2 linked regions of the Diceros bicornis minor genome follow. The protein of the gene in region 1 purifies or fractionates together with the protein of each later gene. This does not show direct contact. Links are inferred from orthologs where the notes say so. Each region holds a gene or a part of one and is shown in the gene's direction. Other genes may lie near its edges.

Region 1 (10,905 bases):
AATCAAGAGTATGCAGATTTAAGTCCTCTCCTTCCATAGTGATAAGAGTTTCCAGAGATAAGGTCATCCCCTCTTCTTCCCAAGACAGAGAGGGAGATACCTTTACAAAAGTAAATGTTTTGTAAACAGAACTTTGATAAGAATGGGCTTAGCAAGGACCCTGCCAGTCTATCCATACCCAGAGTTAAATTTGTTTACGCAGTTAGTGAGGGAGGTCAAATTTCCGTCAGAGAAAATAATCAAGGTAAAGAGACATATTTTGAGGTGGCCAATTTTGATCTCCCATAATGGCAAACGTGATGGCATGTCCCTTTTGAGGATAGATCATAAAAGACATTGTGGCTCTGCCTTGCTCTCTTTTGGATCACTCACTTTGGTGGAAGCAGCTGCCAAGGCTTGAGAACACTCAAGCAGCTCTATGGAGCAGGCCATAGGGAGAGGAACCAAGGCCTCCTGCCAGCAGCATCTTGGAAGCAGATGCTCCAGCCATAGTCAAGCCTTCAGATGATGGTAGCCTGGGCTGACATCTTGACCACACCTCATGAGGGAGCCTGAGCCAGAACCACCCAGAACCACCCAAATCCCTCACCGACGGAAATTGTGATATAATAAGTGGTCTTTTAATCCACTAAGTTTTGGGATAATTTGTTATGCAGTAATAGATAACTAATATAAGTGTGGAGTATGTAAAATTCATTGAGCTGTACATGTAAACTTTGTACACTTTATATATGTATATCTTAATAAAAAAAGTAAAAAAGAAAAAAGTCTATTACCCAAAGAGGGTCTCAAAAATCCTCAATCTGAAACTCCCTAGGCTTTAACTCAAGGCTCAAGGTCTATATTTCACCAAAATGTGTTGGCAGTGTGTAGCCTGACAGAGGGAGACAGGTGTGAGCTGGTCATCTGCTCCTGTTCCCTCTGTTCAACTGGACAGGCTTCTACTACCTACAGGTGCTTCTTTTAGAGCCAGCTCTAGCTGCTGGTCCTGCATCGTTTTGGGGCAATCTATCAGCAAAACTTACAATGTCTGTAAATAGTACAGGGAGTTATACAGCATTAGCAGCAAAAACAGGCCAACTTCTCCACTAGGCATGGTAGACACAGTGCCTAGTGTTCCCAATAGTTTTAAGGTCCCATGAAAATGTTTTAATTTTAATTTATTTTAAAATAAGAAGAAAAATAAGAATATAATAATAATGAATATATAATAATAAATCCATCCTGGATTATATCTGTCTTTATACCAATACAGTTATAAAATATAACTTTCAGTGTCTTTTTTTTAAGGAAGAAAGGGCCCCTAAAGGCAAAGGTGACTAGAGCTCACAAAAGTCACAATGCAGCCCTGAGCAAAGGAAGGGGTGCTACGGACTGAACTGTGTTCCCCCAAAATTCATATGTTGAAGCCCTAACCCCCAATGTGTTAGTATTTGGAGACAGGACTTTTAGGAGGTATCTAAGGTAAATAAGGTCATAAGGCTATAGGGCCTTAATCCGATAGGATTGGTGGCCTTAGCAGAAGACGAAGAGGAAGAGAGTGATCTCTCTCTCTCTTCACACACATGCACCAAGGAAAGGCTGTGTGAGCACACAGGAAGAAGGTGGCCATCTACAAGCCAGGAAGAGAACCTTCACCAGAAAGTGAACAGGCTGGTATCTTTATGTTGGACTTCTCAGCCTCCAGAATGGTGAGATATAAATCCCCGTTTTTAAGCCACCCAGTCTATGGTATTTTGTTACAGCAGCCTGAGCTGACTAACACAAGGGGGAAAAGTAAAAAAATGTGAGCAAGGTGAAGCAGCGACAGGTCCATCAGCAACTGGCTCAGATATCACCAGGCGAAGTTGGTTGCATCCTAGTACCCCAGAAGCCCAGCTCTATCTTCATTTTCTATTATTGAACTTCAGTTTTTGAGTAGAAACCAGGCAAGCTTGCAGTCTGTGCAGTAGTGAGGCATTCCTTTTTCTTTGCTCACTTGAATCACTGCCTACTTTGAAGTTTCCACATCAGCAGAAGGTAAAAAAAAGCTTCTATAGTAAAAGAAATCAAAATTATTTCATTGTAATGAAATTTTATTAACATGAATATACATCCCTAGTCTAGAAGATGAGATATAGTTGGTGCTTAGCCAATGAGGCAACCCAGGAGAGTGACGGTTAAAGAAGAACATGCTTTATGGAGGACAGCAAGATTATTCATGTGGAACGCTACTAAGAGATCAAGTGAGATGAGACCAAAGGAGTTGTCATTGGACTTGGCCACACAAAACCAATGATGATCTTAAGAGGAGCAGGTATCCATGTGACTGCCTAGCCTTTGGGGGATGAGGGGGGCTGGGTCCTTACATCACTCATCACAGCAAAATAATTCCAGATGGATCATTATTTTCATGAAATCATTAAAACTCTAAAAGAAAACATGAAATAATTTTTTATAATCCTGAAAACTAGTAAATTAGTAAAAGTATGTGCAACACATATCCTAGACCAAGTTAATTTTCTTAATAAATAAAGAGCTTTTACAAATCAATATGAAAAAGAATATCTAACAGAAAATGAAGAACACAGAAAAAGAAATAAAATCATTTATAAATGAATAGATTATTTTTCCCCCTTTGGTGAGGAAGATTAGCCCTAAGATAACATCTGTTGCCAATCTTCCTCTTTTTGCTGAGGAAGATTGGCCTTGGGCTAACATCTATGCCCATCTTCCTCTACTTTATATGTGGGACGCTGCCACAGCATGGCTTAATAAGCGGTGCATAGGTCCATGCCTGGGATCCAAACCTGCAAACCCCGGGCTGCCAAAGCAAAATACGCAAACTTAACCACTAAGCCACCGGCCTGCCCCCCAAAAGATTCTTAATCTCACTAATAATTAATAAAATACAAATTAAAGCATCACAATATTTTTTAAAATATGTAAAATCAGATGCCATTTTTCACCTATAAGAATGGCAAAGATAAGTGTTGGCAAGGATGTGGGAATCAGGCACCTCCATATGTTGTTGGCAAAGGTATAAACTGCAATCTGTTTGGAGGACAATTGGCAGTAATAAAAATTAAAATGAACATTTCCTTTGATCCAACAATAAGTTCTTCCAAGAGTTCTATATGTATATGATTACAATGATTTAGGTACAAGGATGTTCATTGCATCATTGTTTCCAGTAACAAAAGTGACAAACTGAATGTCCAACAGGAGATTGGTTAAATAAATTATATAATGGATCAAAAACTACTAACATGACTATTTCTAGCCTTCCCCTTCCATCTGCTAGGTAAAGAGAATTTTGTCTTAGGTCAGTGTTCTTATTTCTCTCCCTAAGGGAAACGTTCAACAGCTTTTGGACTTCTGTGATGCAGTATATGAGGAGAGCGGAGGGTACATAAAGATGCAAAGCTTTGTGGAATCTAGACAAGCTCAGGAATGTGAGGAAGCAGATAGAAAAGGAAAGGTGATTTTTTTCGATATTACTGGAACCATACAAACCCTTCACATGTACCAGAAGTGCAATTTGAGAACTCGAGTTATTTTGAAATACTTGGTTGGTGAGCTATATTTCATTGACTTAGGCACTACTCTGAGACTGACCTACATCATTCTGGCTTTGGGAATGTTACATACACACAGAAAATTCTATAGGGCTAGTAAAAGCAGTGAGGTGAAGAAGCATACTGCTAAATGTAAAAAAGCAAGCTGCAAACTGTATCTATATAGTCCCACTTGTTTAAAAAGTCCATATATTATATTCACATATATGTCTTCAAATGCATAGAAGTTTTCTGGAGGATATTTCTGCACATTTATAAAGAGGCATATGTCTAATAATTTCATTTTCCCTCTTGTCCTTTATTATGAGGCAGTCAATATTGAATTGGTGTTTATAATGATAGTGATATTGAGTATTATTTGAACAAAGTTTCTCTTAGGATCTCAACTATGTTAAAACAATTTTCATAGGAGAAAGTGCATCACAATGTGACATAGCTTATCCATAGTAGTGGAATTATAAATTATTTTTTTATTGTAGTCTCTAAACCTTTCTGTATTTTCAAAGTCTCTAGCATAAGCATGCATTATTTTGTTATCAGCAAAAAACATTTCTCTTAAAACTATGACAATTGATTTTAAAAATATTTCCTAGGCTTTTGGGCATGTTGAAGCTGTATGAAAAACAGAGCCAGACAAAAATATATGGCAAAAAGATCTTTTTGTTACTGTTTTGTAGCTGAGCAAAAAGCAGCTTCTGCTCACCACAATCTGGTGCCAATCAATTGCAAACAAGCCAGTGGTTGAGAAAGGAAAATTTATTTTCCGATTAGCTAGCATAATCGGAGGATGGCAGACTAGTGTCCTAAAGAACCATCTTAAAATCACACAGAATCTTGAGGCAGTTATATAGGGGAAATGAGTAGGGAAGGAGGGTGTTTAAGGATGTTGACCATCAGGTGTGACCAACTTCAAGACACCACATTATCTTTCTTTTGTCATTCGTGATGGATACCAATGCAGCATTTTTCTTTCTGGAGGCCATCACGCTCCTGGGGAACTCAGAGAACAAAGTTATCTTATCACAGCTGGGAGACATATGTAAGCAAAGTCATAGAACTAGCAGCTCATGTATTTTGCAAAAGCAAGAGGAGCTTAATCATCTAGGCTAGAGTGCATTCTCAGAGACTAGTGAGTCAGGGTCATAGTTAAAATATTGCTGCTTTCCCTAAGATGCCTTCCTTCATGCTAACTTAAGATCTGTTACAGTTTTAGTGAATGGTGGACACAATTTGTGGGGCATCGAAATTTCTGCCCATTCCAGAATGTCTCATATGGTGCTTGAAATTTCCTTTATTCAAGTCAATCATTTAGTAAAGATTTTTGTTGGTTTGTTTGTTTTTTCCCATAAGGACTGTACTAAACTTAGAAGAGCAACTAATCTACCAGGATCCAGAGAATACATTACAGCAGTGTTCTGGAATTTGAGTGTGCACTGGAACCACCTGGAGGGCTTGTTAAAACACAACCAGCTGGGCCCATACCCAGAGTCTCTGACTCAGTGGGTCTAGAGTGCAACCGGGAATTTGCGTTTCTAACAAGGTCCCAGGTACTGCTGCTGCTGCTGGTTCAGCGACAACACTCTGAGGACCCCTGCATTACAGCATACTACTTTATCTCAGTTCACCAGGAGCAGGAGAGCACACAGTTGGATGAGCGCCAGGAGGTCGTCAAGGAAAATCTAGGGCTGAAGATCCAGAGGAAATCCCTATAGTTTTAGTGCGGAGCCAGCCAGGTGGACATCACAGGGCTGAGGAGGTGGGGAGGCAAAGACAGTAACTGAATCAGCCGCTTTGTAGAGTAGGGATGAGAATGTCACCTACATCATGGTTCTACTGGCACTGGGTCTGATCATTGTTGCAGCTGGATATTGTCTTTTCATTGTAAACTGGCTTCTCCTGTTGGGAGAAGAGATCCTTACCTCCATTTCCTTAACTTCAAAATGGAAATGACTCATGCTTTTGAGAGGTCTCAATAATTGAAGTCAGAGGGGAAATGTTACCGGAAATGCATATAATAAAAATAAGTGCAAGACCAAAAAAGATTATGATAAGTGCAAAGCTCAAAAATGAAAATGCTTCTCCTTTATCTTTGTGTTACTTGACTTAGAACAAAAAAAATGGACTCCGGTCCCATCTCTGGGTCAAACTTCCCGGGGGTGACGGGAAGCCCCCCCACGGCTTCACTGCCACGCTTGGCTCCGCCAGCAGATAGAGCGGTTCTAGCGCTTTTCCGAACGTGGGCTGAGAGGCCAGTGAACGGAGATTGGGTGGCTCAGCAGCGCCGCCCACCGCCGCACTCCTCCCCTCGCGCTCTCTCGGATCACAACACAGTCAGGCCACAGCGCGGCTCCGCCCCGAGGTTTGCTACAAGCGCCCAGGGGTGGATTCCTTCGGGGTGACTGGGCTCGGGAGAACTTGCTCGGAGTGCTATTTGGGGCCGAAATAAACACATATTCCGCTGAGGAGTGGGGTCTTAATTGGGAAAACAGTCTCCAAGCACTCCCATTCGCTAAAACCTTCTCGCACAAGGTCTCCAACTCAGGAAAGACAAACGGGAGAAATGATTTAAAGCATCAAAACCATACACTTTTGGCACAACTCTAGAAATATCCTCCCAGGCCGGATTCCAAAAGTTCATCTCCCCGGCTCGGGGAGTCCCGGCCGCACGCCTCGGCCCGAGAAGCCGCAGGGCGGAGGAGGTCGTGCCGCCGGCCTGGCACTGCCCGGTCGGGCCCCGCCCCCGCCCCGTCTGGGCCTCGCCCCTGTCCCGCCCACCCCGGGCCGGCCCCGCCCCAGAACTGGCCCAGGGCGTCACGGCAGCTGCGCCTCCCCCAAAAGGGGGAGGAGCCGACGACGCCTAGTTCCTTCCTGACCTGCGCGCGCAGCCCGCCGCCTCTGACGCCCGCTCCCTGAATCAGCCGGCGCGGTGTCCTGAGACAGCCCGGGACGACGAGCCGGCCGAGCCGCTGCCGGCGTCCTCTCCCTGCCCCGCCGCAGCATGGGCGCGCGCGGCCCGGCCCTCAGCCTCCTCCTGCTGCTGCTCTGTCCCGCGCAGGTGAGCGGCTGCCAGCCACCCGGGCAGGCTGTGGGGACTTGGCGGGGCCGCGAGTTGGGGGGCGGCGGGCCATGCAGCGGCTCAGGCGCCCCCGTCCCCCGAGGGGCGCGGGTCCAGCCGGTCCCGGGGAAGTTGGTCTAGCAGTGGAGCCCCTGGAGGTCCCCCATGTCTCCGGTTTCTCTCTGCAGCCAGGCACTTGTCCCTGAGGTCTGCAAGGGGATGGCAACTGGGAGCTTCTTGCTGACCTGTTTTGAGCTCATTCAGCTGTGGTCACCTAATTTCTGGGTTTAGGATGTGGGAGCCGAGGGAAGGAGGAAAAGGGGTAGAGAGGGATAAGAATCTTATTTATTTAACCTGCCTTTAAAAAAAAAATCTGCCACATGCACTCGAACTCGATGAATATATTTAGAAGATCCGACCACTTTATTTCCCCTTCTGCTCCCCTAAAGATGAAGTTGGGAGGGAAGGTAAAGAAAGGAAATAATTCATCAAGCATCAAATTAGAATAGTCCTAAGTACTTGACGTAAGTCAGCTCGATCTTCTAAAGAGTGCAAGTTACTTCTTATCAACTAATTCCCTTTTACATCTTTGGAAACTGAGGCCCACGGAGGGGGGTGGTGAGGGGGTAATTGAATTTCCCCTTGTCATAGTTCTAGCTAGCGACAGGATGGGCCCTGGAACTCGATGTCCTGACTCTCTGGGTCGGCTTTTCCTTGGTTTAGTAGCCTTGAGCATGAGCACCTCACTGCTGTTTGTGTGTCTGTGATTTTCTCCTTTAAAACTATGGGGGTCGGAAGTAATGTTTAAGGATATAGTGCTGATTAAACCGGATCAGGATGAAAGATGAGTGAGCCTCTGGGAATCCTGTGCCCTTGTACACACTCTAGGTGTGTCAGTAATGAAGGGATAGTGAATCAGAGGGGAAGGCAGATTAAGGGGTTTCCCTGGACTAGGAAAACCTCACCTTAAACTTCTCTGTAGTTCTCAGGCAGAAATAGGTGATGCTGACTCAGTAAGGACCTGACACCAGGAGAAGAGCTGTGGCTTCCTCTTCCCTTGTGTATGGGGGGATCCCCAGCACTGTGGGCTTGTGGAGGAGCACACATCTGGTGCCTGGTTAGGAGGGGAGGCAGTGGGATGGGATCAGCGGCTAGACTGCTTACTAGCTCTGTGGCTTTGGGCACGTTATTCTTTCAAGGCTCAGTTTTTTCTGAAGATAAAACTTCATAGGATTATTGGGGTTATTAAGTAACATGGTATATGGAGAGACCTCATCAATATAGTAAAAATTCAAGGACTAATAACATTTATGTGCCTAAAGAAAATACAGCGATTCAGTTTCCTAGAGTTTTAGGTAGGGATCTAATAGTTAGGCTTCACATTAAGTAGCTGTAATTTACCTCTGAAATCCTTTTACCTCAAGGCAGTATCCAAGGCTGATGGCCGGCCTTGGATACTGGGCTCTCCTCCTAGGACTTTCAGGCTAGGTCAGAGGTTGGTCATGAGTCTCTTGCAAAACACTTAGAATCCTTGAGAAGTTCTGTAAATCTGAACTGGAAACATTCCTGTCGTTAGTCTGCAAATTAACTCCCTCGTGTCTGCGAGGCTCTCGGTACACCTGAACAGATGGGCGGGAGGGGTCTTTTAGAATACTTACCTGTGATAGCAGCTCCTTTGGGTTCAGTCTGAGCACTAAGAAAGTTCTGTCATGGGATTACAGACTAACTGTCCTTTGTAAGGCCTGAAATACATTTTGGGGGAATTTTTGCTTTTCATAATTTTAAATTTTTACAGAGGATGAAATAGCATTACTAGACTGCATGGTTTTTAAACCTTGTGGTCGTCCAAATAATGTCTGCAGTTTTGAGAAATAGTATATATCTCTCCTGACTGTAGTTTTTATAAACTTTTTCTTGGGGAGCTTGGGACAGAGTGAGGCTTGGGTAGGAATTCAGCCGTTAAAATGGCTTTTCCCGAGGTTGGAAATGAGTTATCCTTTCGGCCTGAGAGCATTGAAGAATAACCATCTGAAACTGGAGCAAATGTGGGTAATCTTTCCCAGTGTCTCCCACTCCTTGATGGATGCTGTGATCAGATGTCTTACTAACAGAAGTAATCAAAAGAAGATGAGGTTTTTTTATTTTAGCAAGTGGGCAGAAAGAAAACGACTTGCTGAATAGGTCTTTGTATTCCTTCAGTGTTTGTCCCATTACCCGGAACAAAGAATCCCTCTGGGCGTGAAGATGGTATCATCTCATTCCAGGGTCACCCTATCCCACCCTCCACTCCTGAAAGGGATGCTTTTTGGGGTGTTTTAAGGATGACACATTACCTACTGCAGAAGCCTGGATTGGGCCATCTCTAATCTGATCTCAGGTGCCCCTTTCTGCCCTTTCAGCCACAGCTCTGTAAAGGGCGTCAGCGCTCCAGCCAAATTAAACTGCTTACTCTCAAAACCCTGCCTATCTTTGAAGGCCAGTTCAATGCTACATCATCCGTGACATTGTTATCCTGTTCCCCCAACTAAAATGCCATCCCTCTAAAGTCCTAAATCTTTGTTGAAACTGCTGCGGCAGCATTTACTGCCTGGCAAAAGACTTTTGAGTTCAGAGACCTGGGGGTGGGTCTTGACTCTTCCTCTTACCAAGAGTGATCTTGGGCAGACCAGTTATCCTATGGCACCTGTCTCCTTCTCTGTAAAATTGGTTAACAGCTATGCCTACTTCTCAGGGCGCTTGTGGAAAGACAGAGAAATATTGTATGAATTGAACTACTGGATTGCAGGCTCCTTGAGGGCAAGAACTATATGTTACCATCTGCAATATGGCCAGGACTCTTGGCTTTTACTCTTCTGAATCACCAAATCATTGGGCCTTCAGTGGCTTCAGATGAGGGGGCAAGATGGGGAGGGATTCAGAGGCTGGTGGAGATCAGGACTGGATTTACAGCTGGTTTCTGGGTGATAGCAGTGTTCAGCTGTGGCCCAACAAGTTTCCCTGTGCTTGGACCATGCCTCTTAGTCTTTGGAATATTTGCTTTGTCAAGAAAACTTAAAAAAAAAAAAAACCCTCTCTCTGATGCAAGTGTGCTGTTGGAGGTTTTGAGAAGGAAGCTTTAAAATTTGTTCTTATTACTATCCTTAGGCCACAGAGGACCTCAAACTACTGTCATTCACTAATTTCATAAATATAAAGTGGTTGCTATGGACACAGTGTAGGATACAAAAGTAGATCAAAAGAATTAACCTATGTGGAAAGATGTCTATAAAGTGCTATGTGAATGTTAGTAGTTACTATCCCTGTCTTGTTCATAGTTGATGGGAGGAAGGGTGAATACATTAAAAAAATTACAATGGAAAGTACTCTCATAAAGATAAGGACAAATGTTTTGGGGAGTCCATTTTTGAGCTGAACTTTGGAGGGTGAATTAATGCTTCAGGGGTGGTGGACAAGAGGAAAACTGGAGACAATGGGGGAGAAGTTACCTAATTGTTACTAAAAACCATTCAACTGTATACGTGAAAAGGGTGAATTTTATGGTAAATTATCTCAATAGCGCTGTTTTAAAATGACATTCTAGATTACAAGAGACTAAAGAAAAAGGAGTTACCTAACTTTTGCATAGTGCTGCCTGCCATGACACGTCTGAGCTTGTTTTAACCTCACAGAACCCCTTTAGGTAGGTGTGATGCTCTTTTTCCTGTTTTGCAGATGTGAGTGTTAAGGCTCAAGTTTGCCCCAAGGTCACATAGCTAGTAAATGGCAGACTGGGGGCTTGAGCCACCGTCTCTGACTTCTATGCTCTAATTTATTCAAATTCAAAATATTGTTACCAGATTATTCATGTTTAGCAAGGCAAGTTGATGGCTGTTCAGCAGATGTTCCCCTTGGCCAATAAGGCATCTCATTCAAGGCATGCTCCTGGCTCCAGTGTGGCTTCTGCAAAAGCCAGTGGTAAATCAGGGGTAGATTTAGCCTGCTGGCTTGACCCAAGGTTCAGTTGCCATGCTCTGTGAACATTCCATAGGAAAAAGCCTGCAGGCGGTATATATTCCCACCTACTTTCATGGTTTTGTTTTTGTCTTGTGGCTTTTGGGTTGTTTTTTCAAACTTGAGGGTACTGGAGCTCATAAATGCCTAATACTAACTAGTAGTATGACTGTGGGCAAGTCACTTAAGGAAACTGCAAGCTAGAGGAGTTATCTATCAAGTGAAGACTAGCTGAGCCCATCTAACTCTAAAACTGTGACTTAAACACTTATCTACAGGCGAGCTTGGTGTTCACACAAATTA
Region 2 (10,764 bases), on another chromosome or scaffold:
AAAGCTCTTCACCAAAACAAAGAATAAATGGCAGGAAAGGGTACTCAAAGGAAGAAATAATGCATTTTTCAGAAAACTCACCTACCTGAAGAAATTACCAGAAGAGTTTTTCACTAGTTCATACTAGATAAGAATATATGGTCACTTTCAGAAGGTAGGAAAAATACATAAACTTACAGTATACTATGCTGGAATTATATATATACATGGGCTATTCAGTGAAAAACCACATTATACAGAATCAGCACTTTGCAAAGTGGAATTAAATGGAGTATGTGTGCAGTGTACTGACTTTTTAAAAAAGAAGTCACATGTCAAAACAAGGTCAAAGAACTTTCAAAAGTGGAGTACCAGAGGGAATGAGCTAAAAAGATAAGAGGTGATGATTGGAAAATGAAATCTTCAAATTGAGATTTTGGAGGTGTTGCAAGTACCGGTAATGGCAAAATCTTCAAGTCTAACAATAGGAGTAGGAGGCAAAGTAGGGCAGAGACCAGGTCATTGGAGGAAAGGAGGTCATGGAACTGAAAAGTTGGGTCTGGAAAAATTGCATATCTGGATGTTAAAATTACCAAGAATTTTGACAGTGTAGTATAAAATGGAGTGATTGTGAGCCAGAGCTAGAAACTTCTAGGACAGATGGGAAAGTGTCTTGGGGTTGGGGGCCAACAGATAACACAGAAAGTTGAAGAGAATATTTAGAGAAGACATTGAGTATATAGAGGATTTTGTTATGACTGACTATGAGTTCCAGAGGACACAACAAAAGGGTTGAGGGGTGGGGATTAGGGAGATGGGAGAAAGTACTCAGCCATATGGGAAGAGAGCCTGTAGGATGAAGGTTGACTAGGGAGCCTGAGCTTTTCATGGTGACCACATAACATAGGAATAAAGGGCCTAATGAGATTACACAGATATTGGAGGTGAGGTAGTAAGTGTTAAAGAAGAGAGAGATCTTCCAGAAGCCCGCTCCAGGGCTCTCATGTCACTCCTGCAAGAGAAGGTATAGTGGCTAGGAGAGGGGCTGTCTTATGCCAAGCACAAATAACTCTGGAGATTTCTTTCCAATCTCCCCTACCTCTATCTTCCACACAGTTCTCAGTCCCTATGCAGGGATAGCAAATAGATTTCAGTCTCCATGGACAAGGAGTGACTGCCTGGAGCACCACAACATGAAGAACTTCAAGGTCGCATCCAGATTCAGGAGAAAAGGAAAATGACCATCTCTAAGCCAGTATCTGCTTTCCCTAGTTTAAGGTGATCTCTAACACTCAATTCAATTCTTAACTCCCCATCCCTTTCCCACTTTTCAACCTGCCTCCTAGCCACTTACACACCCATAAAGCTTTTGGGACTTTTACGTATACCACTTCACTTCAGGCTACAACCTCAAACCTTCTTGAAGGTCCTCTGTTCAGCTTGCTGCACTCTCTGCTAATGATCTCCAAGTCTCCATGTCCAGACAAGACCTCATTCCTGAGCACTGGAAACTTGTCTGTAATTGTCTCCTGGACTTCGAGAACATCAAATGTGCTCATCAAACTTCCCCTGTCCCTGCCACCCCAATCTGTTCCTCTCCCGTCCCAGTTAGTGTAACCCTATTCACCCATTTGAACAACCTAAGCCATCTTCAACTCCTCCTTCCCCCGCATCTCATCAGTCACCCATCTCTACCCATTCAATCTCTGAAATTCCTTAAATCTCCTCCCTCTCCTCCCCACTGCCTCTGCCTTGTTCACATCTGTATCTTCTCTCAAGTAGACTTGGGAAATATACTCCAACTCACCTTGCCACAGCCGTCTGAGTGACCTTTGTAAAACATGAATGTCTCTCCCTTCCTTAAAAGGCTTTGGTGGCCTTACATCACATACTGAATAAAGATCAAAGTTCTTAGCCCTTGACACATAACATTCATTGCATATGTTTGTCCAGGTGCCTGCCTCTCACTGAACTATGACCACCACCAACAGAGGAATGTATGACTCCTTTATTTTGAATTCCCAGTAACTCCTTGGAGATGCAGAACATACTCAATAAATATTAAGTGAAGTAATGCAGGCAGGCAGAGGAAAAGTATAAAAAGCAACAAAGCAACCTAATTTTAAAAACTCTCCCTCATGAAAGTCCACACAAGATCCTTCTCTACAACTCTGACTACCAGTTCATTCATCTCTGCTCTAGCAAAGGAACAGAAATCTTTTTATCTGACAATTAACAAAAGCTATATCAGGGGTGGAAATGAGGTCTTAATATAAATTTTCTTATATTGGGTTCTGGCTCCACCGTTTGCTAGGTGTGTAACCCTGCGCAAGATACTTAACCTCTGGCCTCAGTTTCACAACTTATAAATTGGAGATAATAATTGTACCTAATGCAAATGGTTGTTATGGGGACTAAATGAAGTAGTGTATATAATGTATGTGGAACTGGAAATGTTCAATGAAAATAGCTATGGTTGTTACTTTGAAAGAGGTTCAGGTATGGTTCATTAATAGATAACTAGAAACATTATTGCTATTAGAATATGGAAAACATGCATGTATTTCCTAGAATGGGGGAAACATGTCTTTACTTTTTCCATAGAGTTCAGGCCATACAGAGTCAGCCTCTAAAGGAGGTTGAGAGTACTTGTCTCTGGTCTTTCCAACTTTTCTCTTTACCAGTGTTTTCTACCCCTCTGTCCTCTCCCTCCAAGGACTGACTGCTCCTGGAAGAGAGGCCGCAACTCCTACAGCCCTCTGTAGGAATAGGCGGGGGTCTAGTGGAGACAAATGGGCCATCTGATTGACTTCCAGCATTATCTCAGAATTTGTTTATTCATATGTCATAGAGATACACTGACACAACTGAAAATAACTCATTCATATTAAATTTGAGTTCCATTACTGGACTATTCCTCTTCTAGTAAACCAGGAATATTTTTTTATAAATCGCATAATTATTTTGTGACTAGCACACTACATTGTATTTTATATTTGTGTGTGTTTTTGACCTCTACAAACAGCAAGTTCATATTGTTCAACCTAATATTTGAAGAATGTAAATTTGTTAACTATAAATATTAAAACATATATACAATTTTTCAGTTTCTGTTATGGCATTTCTTCACTTTTAATATATTGGAATTCTCAGGAATTGGCTTGGCTGGGGGGTGGTCTCCCCCACCCACCAAGAAGCCATCGAGTGAAGCATATACAAAGCAAATCTTTCTTTTACTGATAATAACTATCCTTTATAACATCTCTTCAATGTTTTTGTGTTAAAAGATCTGCCCCCTTTTTAAAACAGAGGTAAAGAGAGGAAGGAAATAAAAGGGATATGAAGGGACCAACTTCCCATCACACACTATATAAAATTACAATAATCATGAGTCACCTATTGCACAAATTACCAGGAACATTACACGTGAGAATGCACTGCAAGGAACTTTACAGTTAAAAGTACACTCGTGAAAGGCAGTCCACTTACAGTGTGCTCCAAGGACCATTTTCAGTCTGTGAACCTCTTGCTTCTGGTCCGTGGTGAGATAAGTATGAAAATTTGATAGTAAGCATTTAGAAACTGTTATCGAAATTTGACAAAGTAATTTTACGTCTGTTGAATCACATAATAAGAGATTTGGGCTTGTATTTTGTATGTCTGATTTTTTACTTCATTTTCTAGTAATTCATTTACAAAGGCGAAGAAAAACCTGTCCTTCACTACATGTAGTCTGAGAAACACTGACAAAACGTGTTATTATTTCTGAAATTTTGCTTAAGAACCATCAAATTTCTAATTATAAACTGGTTATATGTCACTACTTGAGTAACACTATTTCATACCAAGTGTAAGGAGCTGCCAGCATACAAACAAGTTCTGAACAAGTTTGTTTTGTGTTGGGTAACTTGGTTATTTGGGAGTCAGAAACCATTTTTCCCATGAAATAGCATAAACCTGGGGTTACATACTGGTGTAGCCTATAAATTCCAGTTATCTCAAAAGATTGCTAAGCTATAGTATAAAATTCAACGAGTGGTATGTACTATAAAATTTAATAACCAATCTTCTCCAACCTCTTACAATGGAGAAGATAGGCTCCTGATTTCCAAATCAGAAAATCTCTCTTTTCCCCATCTGCCTGTGAGAAATGGCAATTCCTAGCCCTATCATGGTGGTGGGGATGGGGGTAAGGACAGGGGCTGCTTCTGCAGAAGTTGTTTCAACAGCAACGCTCAGAGGAAGAATATGGAGCTACAGTACTCTTTGCCTACAGTAATGAAGGAATTAGGAGATCAAGTTTGAGGGAACTCATTGGTCATGTTAATAAAATTAAACCAAAGTTTCACCAAGATTCTCTGAGACTGAAGTTAGGTAGGTTTTGCTGGACTTGAAAGGTCTGGTTCTTTGCCACAAATGCCTCCTTCCTAAACTCCAGAGTCTTATTCCCCTTGAAGCACCTTGAAGGTGACTAGGTTTCATGCTGAATTGAGATCTGTCAGTGGCTACCTTGGGGATTTTTATTTCTCTTTTGTTGTGTTGTTTGAAAAGATTGTGAGGACAAATCTAGGCTTGGTGAGGAACATTGGTAGAATCCATTAGTGATGTCTGCTGTAGGCAAGGGAAGAAGGAGGAGTCAGCACAAGAGCTGTGTTTGCGATCCTGAGAGCATTCTAAAAGATACAGACCTTCAATCCTTTAATTTCAGCTGAAACCAGGCTGAACTATTAAGAACATGACTTTTTAAAAAGCCTAGGAATAGCAAAAGGGAAATAGACATAGATAATAGCACACAGCAAGGTAATCTTATTTATAATTTATGATTTCCTCATTTTGTGACACATGTGGGAGGGCATCTGTGGCTGGCTCCTGACCTAGAGTCCATGAGGCATAGTTTTATGTAATTTTCACTGTCCAGAATGCTTGGAACAAGACTCTCAGACCTAAGACAGAAACCCTGGCAATAGTCCCAGGGCCTCTGTTTTAGGTCCTCATTCTAAATTCTGATTTCATATGTGAGGCTCTTCTCTTCCCCAAAGACCGACACCAAAAATGTCCCAAGAGAAGAGATCCTACCCCTTCCTACCTGGTCATAGGGTAACTATGGCGGAATTCTGAATCTAAGCGGTCCATGGATAGAATTCCAGAGGTTCACGACCTTGGATGAGAAAAAAAATCTTGATTTCAGAGGAAATTTAGCATCTCCTTCAACTATAAAAGTAGAAAACAAACCTCAGAAGCATTAGCAGTACTTATGACTTTGTTCCCAAGGAAAATAACAATTATTTTCATTATTTCATTACAGAGTTGCAGGTATCTTGAAATAACATTTATGCTCATTACTATTTGAAAGAATTGTGCTAGATCTTGTTATCAAATGTATTAATAATGTAGCACACAGCACATTACTATATTACTATAGCACAAACTTTTAAAAGAATATTTTGATAATTGCATTTGAATGTAATTGGTCTCTTTTGCGATCCTGTACATTTTATTGTACGTACTTATAAATATTATTCTGGAAGTTATCTATAGGCTCACTACTGCCAGAGGGACCCGTGAAGCAAAAAAACGTAAGCCTCCTGGGCTTTCAAAGGATAGAGAGTTCTCTATCTAAGGATTGAATCAGAGATACACACATACAGAAGCAGAAGGATCTATCTTTGTGATGGGGGGCAGGGGTAGCTGAGAAACTAGCATCTGCTTTTATTTACTGGTTGCTTATAAAACTGATGTTTGTTGAAAATTGGCAATTGTGACCATTTCTGCCTACATAGTGTAGAGTGGCAGTTAAACACTGGCAAGCATTAAAAGGTTATTTCAGGCATACTCAAGTACTACAATTGTCTCACTCTTACTGTGTGGGTTTCCCTTTTATGCTTTTTTTATTTTTCTTTCTTGATTCATGTTATGGTTGTTAAAGTAAGAAAAAGAAAAGAAAAAGAAAAAAACACAAAACTGCTCTTATTCTCATAAACTGAGTTTAGATCAAAAAATAGTGTCCAGGTCTAGGTTGCTAGTCTAGACCAAGCATTTCTAGAAATAGGATGTTTCTTTCCTCCCATCTACACCGTGTTACAAAAAGCAGTGATTCCAACATGAAATATTTACAAGACATGACCCAGCATTTTTTCCCTTAATAAAAAAAATCTTTAAAACTTTACTCTAGAAGTTTCTGACTGAATATCGAGTGAGGAATGTTTTTGAAGACTAGGAAAATGAGAAGAGTATAAAGGCTGCCTGAGCTTCTTGCGGGAGTTGTTTGGGAAAGGAGGTGAAGGAATTCCAAGTTTCAAGCCTTTAGCATAGACGGGGCGTGAGAGGCCGGTTCCCCGTCCCGGGGAAGGTGTCTGGGGAGGCAGGGCTGCGGCGACAAAAGCCGAGGCCGGCCGAGGGCGGAGCCGCCGCTCCCCGGGCAGAAGCCGGCCGGAGACGGGGCGGAGCGCGGCCCGAGCGGGGAAGCGGGCGCCGCCCTCAGTGTCCCCGGCCAGGCCCGAGCGAGGCGGCGCCGGCTCCGCGCCATGGGGCGGCTGGTGGCTCTGAGCTTGCTGGGGATCGCGCTGGCCCTGCTGGGCGAGAGGCTCCTGGTGTTCAGGTAGGTGGGGCCCTCTCGGACCGAGCCGTCGGCGCGCAGCCCGGCCGGCCACCAGGCTCCGGGACGCCCGCCCGGGAGACTCCGTGGCGCGCGGGCTGCTGAAGAGGGCGCAGGCCGTGGAGGGATTTGAGCGCCGGGGACCCCGGCGGTGGTGAAGAACCACGCATTGCTCCCTGTTCCCCAGCTGGTGGAAGCCCTCCACACGCATCCCCAGCTTCTAGCAAAACCCAACACAGTTTGGGCCGAATTTCGAGACTTTCGAGAAAGTTTATGTCTTTGCTGCTGACAAAGTTCTTTTCTACCTAAGTTGACAAGCGAGTGCTTTGCAATTACTCAAGGGCAAACCTAGTGCTTTAACTTGAAAACAAAGCTACTATTCACGCATTGAAACTTTAATTATAAAGATTTATTTCAGGTCATTGGTGCTGTTTCTCTTTGTTGCCCAAACCAGCCTTCGTCTTTAATAAAGTTGTTCTCCGTCCCTCCCCTGCATTGTTGGAGAAACTCTTCAACTCTCTCATCTTGGCGCTGCAGATCAAAGTATGCTTGAGATATTCAGCTGCTGTACTTACATCACTTCCTTGTCTCTTCCCCCGGGAACCCTGAGGCCAGAATGCTAAACAGTACAAGCCTAGTCCATCGGGCGTTTTAGTTATAGTGAAAAAACGCGGTGGGTAGACGTCACAGTTTCTAAATTACCAACTCAAATTTTATAAACTTCATGCAAAAGAATTCCAGAAATATTGAGCACCTACTGTGTATGGTGTGCTCTCCTAGACTCCTGTACTAGAGTAAGGCACAGTCCTTAAGAAGTTTACCGTATTACAGGGGAGGAAATAAAACAAACTTATCAATTAAGAGGTCCAGGACAGGCACAAACCAACCCCTACAGGCTTAAGAAGGAAAGATTACCTCCCCTGAAGGTGGAGATCAGGAGGAAGAAACATTTGACCTTGGCCTTGAAGGATGGGTGAAACACACATGGGGATGAAGGAGGCCATCCAGATGGAGAGTGCAGCGTGAACAAAGGGAGTAAGGTGGGGACGTTTGGAGACTAGCAACAGACCAATTTGAGGGGAGCGTAAAGTTAAGAGATGAGAATAGTAGGGATGGGGGGAAGCATAGGTTTTGAGAGGGTTAAATATAGGTTGAAATATTGGGGCCTACTTTAATAGGCAAAGGGGGGCTGTTGATATTTGTTGTGTTTTGTTTTTTTTAAACCATATAAAGCATCGTCAGTAGAGATGAACCTGGAAGGATGGACTGGAGTAGAGCAGTAGTTCTCAATCTTGGCTGCACATTAGGATTTCCTGGAGGGCTGATGTCTGGGCTGCACCCCCTTAGATTCTGATCCGGTTGGTCTGGGTGGGGCCCAGGCATGAGTATTTTTTATTTTTAAAAATTCTCCTGATAATTCTAATATGCAGTTAGAGTTGAGAAGTACTAGAATAGGGAGTGAATAAACATGGGGAAACTAGTTAAAGTATTGCAGTAGTTTGGAGAGAATAACAGGGGCCCAAGCTCTGGAACCCCAGGGAGGAGGGAGAAGTCAGAGGTGATACCAGAGTTCTTAGCTCTGCTGTCCTGGAGCTGTAGCTTCATCAGCTGATAAGGGGATTCAGGAGGAAGAACAGTGTGTGTTTGGGGCCAGGGTTAGAGTTGGGGGAGGAATGCTTACTGGTAGGAAATGACATGTTGACCATAATTTCCACGTTGTGTAAATGCCCCTCCTGTTCTACAGAGTATTCTTGAGTTGGATGATTTTATATGATCTGTCCAGCTCTCAGTTTCAAAGGCAAGACCACTGAAATTCACAAACTCATTAAGTGGTCCCTGAAGTTCGAACCACCAGTTCCACAAGTTGACATCTTCTCAATCAACAGTCAATTTTTACTTCTTACTAATCTTCAAGTGTTAAATTTAAGCCCCTTTGAATGATAAATGTTATAGTTGCAAACCTAAGAAAAAAGTAAATAAAGCTTATTTACATGGAACACACCTGATAGGTAATTTACAATTTAATGCATCTTTTCTTTTTAAAGACTTGACTATAATAAACTTTATTGAGCAGTGACTTTATAGGGTGGTAACTTCATTGGATTGTTGAAGGTCCAAATTAGCTGATGTGAGAATTTTGGGATGAGTAATGAGTGGCTAGATTTAGCAAATAAAAATGCAGGAGGCCAAGTTAAATTTGAATTTCAGATAAACAGTGAATCACTGTTTTTAGTATAAGCATATCCCATGCAATATTTGGGACATAATTATACTAAAATATCTTTCATTGTTTATCTAAAATTCAAATTTAACTGGGCATCTTGTATTTTATCTGGCAGCCCTATGATTGTATAATATCAAGTGCCTTCTGTTTACAGAGTTTGGTGGAGTGCTCAAATGCATAGCATTTCTCCTTTCAGACCCTTAGGGTCTATTTCAAAAAGCAGCTTGTTTCCATTTCCCCACAAGGAAAGGCTCTTCAAAAAACAGGTTTTTTGTTTGTTTTTTGCTTTAATCTGGTGCCTACTATTTCATTATTTTATTTTTAGAGATGGTACTTTGGCACTCGAGTTCTCTCTCTCCCCCAGGGTGCCCACTTAAATTTCAACTTGAATTTCAGAATAACAATGAACAATTTTTTAGTATAAGTGTGTCCCAGATGGATAAATGGAATCAAAGTTGTCACTTTTCTTTTGAACTGTAACTGGCTAAGGTTCCCAGGGGAAGATGGCCTATTACACCCAACTTTTCCACTCCTCCCTAGTTGAGCAATAAAGGGGAAAAATAAAAATACATAAATATCCCCAGCTGGTTGCTCCCTGTTTGAATGCTTGTATGAATCCTGAGACTTGAGTGCATCAGAGACCTATGCATGGGCAGGAACCCCCCAAAACAAGCACCTGAACGTTCTGCTTGTTACCTGACACCTTTGATGACAGCTCCACCAAGAGGCCATCCAGTCTGCTTCTGAACACTTCTGAAGGGTCAGGCTTTTTTTAAACCACCATCCTCCTTATCAGTTATTGTGTGACTACTGTGTACTGGTCACTGTGTTCAAAGTGTGAAAAGTTCTTTATATTAAACCAAAATGTATGTTTACTGACGTTTGGAAAGAAAGCCCTTTTATATTTATGCTTTCGTTTAGTCTTCATATATATTGTCCTTTCTATAGTATACATGTAAAAACTGAGGCTGGGAGAGGTTAACTAGTTAGTTCAACTGGTAGTTAGTGCTGAAACTGTACTCTAAGCCAGGTCTTCTAATTCCAAATACAGTTTGCCGCAGCCTGCTAGCTTCTCTGCCATTGGAGCAAATTTTGCCTGAGCACAAATTCTTTGTTACTACGTGCAGGCATGCAAGCATTCCAGGGGCCCAAGGGGTGAATTCCAAGGGGTTTCACAGGTCTGTATATAAAAGATAAAGCCCCTGTTTGTCTATATTTAAGTCTGTACTTAAACGATAAAGCCCCACCAGTAGTTTGTAAATTGGAAGGCAGTAAGATATGGAACAAAGTACTGCCTGGTCATAACACTGTGTTCCCAGTTTGCTCAAGGCGTGTTGGCACCACAGCCTGGAGCATCTCGACTGCCGCCACACAATGATGCAGGATAGTAATGAATGGCCCCTGTCTCCTTCCACTCTGGATGGGTAATGCTGTTTCTGAGTGAAAGAAATAGAGATTGATTTCGTGGTAATGACTGTTGGTTAAGGATTCATGCTTGGTGGCCAGATAGCCTGAATTCATTTCCTAGCTCTGTTGTTTACCTGAGACCTTGCTTTTTATTTCACCTTTCTGTGCCTCAGTGACCTAATCTGTAGGATGGGAATAATACTACCTGCTCCAGAATGGGGCTGTGAAAAATAAATGAGTTCATGCTTGTAAAGTGCTGAACAATGCCAGACATATAGGAAGTGCTCAGTAAAAGTTACCTATGATGACAGTGCTGTTTCAGCAGGGGTTCTTAGGCTTTTTGTGCCATAGATCCCTTTGGCAGTCTGGTGAAATCCTGACTCCTCAGCATCATTTTTTTAAGTGCATAAAATAAAGTACATAGAATTACAAAACAAACTTGAATACTATTTAAATTAATACTAATTTAAATACTTAAAATACTATTGCCAAACTATTTTTAAAATTAATATATGATATAGTAACATGGGGTTTTCATTAAAGTCTTGAATAGATCTAG

Evidence for each region.
Region 2: the proteins of NPC1 (region 1) and PON2 purify together in Homo sapiens (affinity purification with mass spectrometry; 3 studies listed by BioGRID and IntAct, with this or other methods). This does not show direct contact. The link is inferred for Diceros bicornis minor from reciprocal best matches to the Homo sapiens genes NPC1 and PON2.

The regions. Positions count from the first base shown.
Region 1 is NC_080755.1:11,835,469-11,846,373, forward strand, and holds the start of NPC1 (NPC intracellular cholesterol transporter 1), read left to right. Parts: upstream 1-6,482; 5' UTR 6,483-6,555; coding exon 6,556-6,612; intron 6,613-10,905. UniProt on the Homo sapiens protein: Intracellular cholesterol transporter which acts in concert with NPC2 and plays an important role in the egress of cholesterol from the endosomal/lysosomal compartment.
Region 2 is NC_080742.1:32,555,220-32,565,983, reverse strand, and holds the start of PON2 (serum paraoxonase/arylesterase 2), read left to right. Parts: upstream 1-6,467; 5' UTR 6,468-6,503; coding exon 6,504-6,577; intron 6,578-10,764. UniProt on the Homo sapiens protein: Capable of hydrolyzing lactones and a number of aromatic carboxylic acid esters. Has antioxidant activity. Is not associated with high density lipoprotein.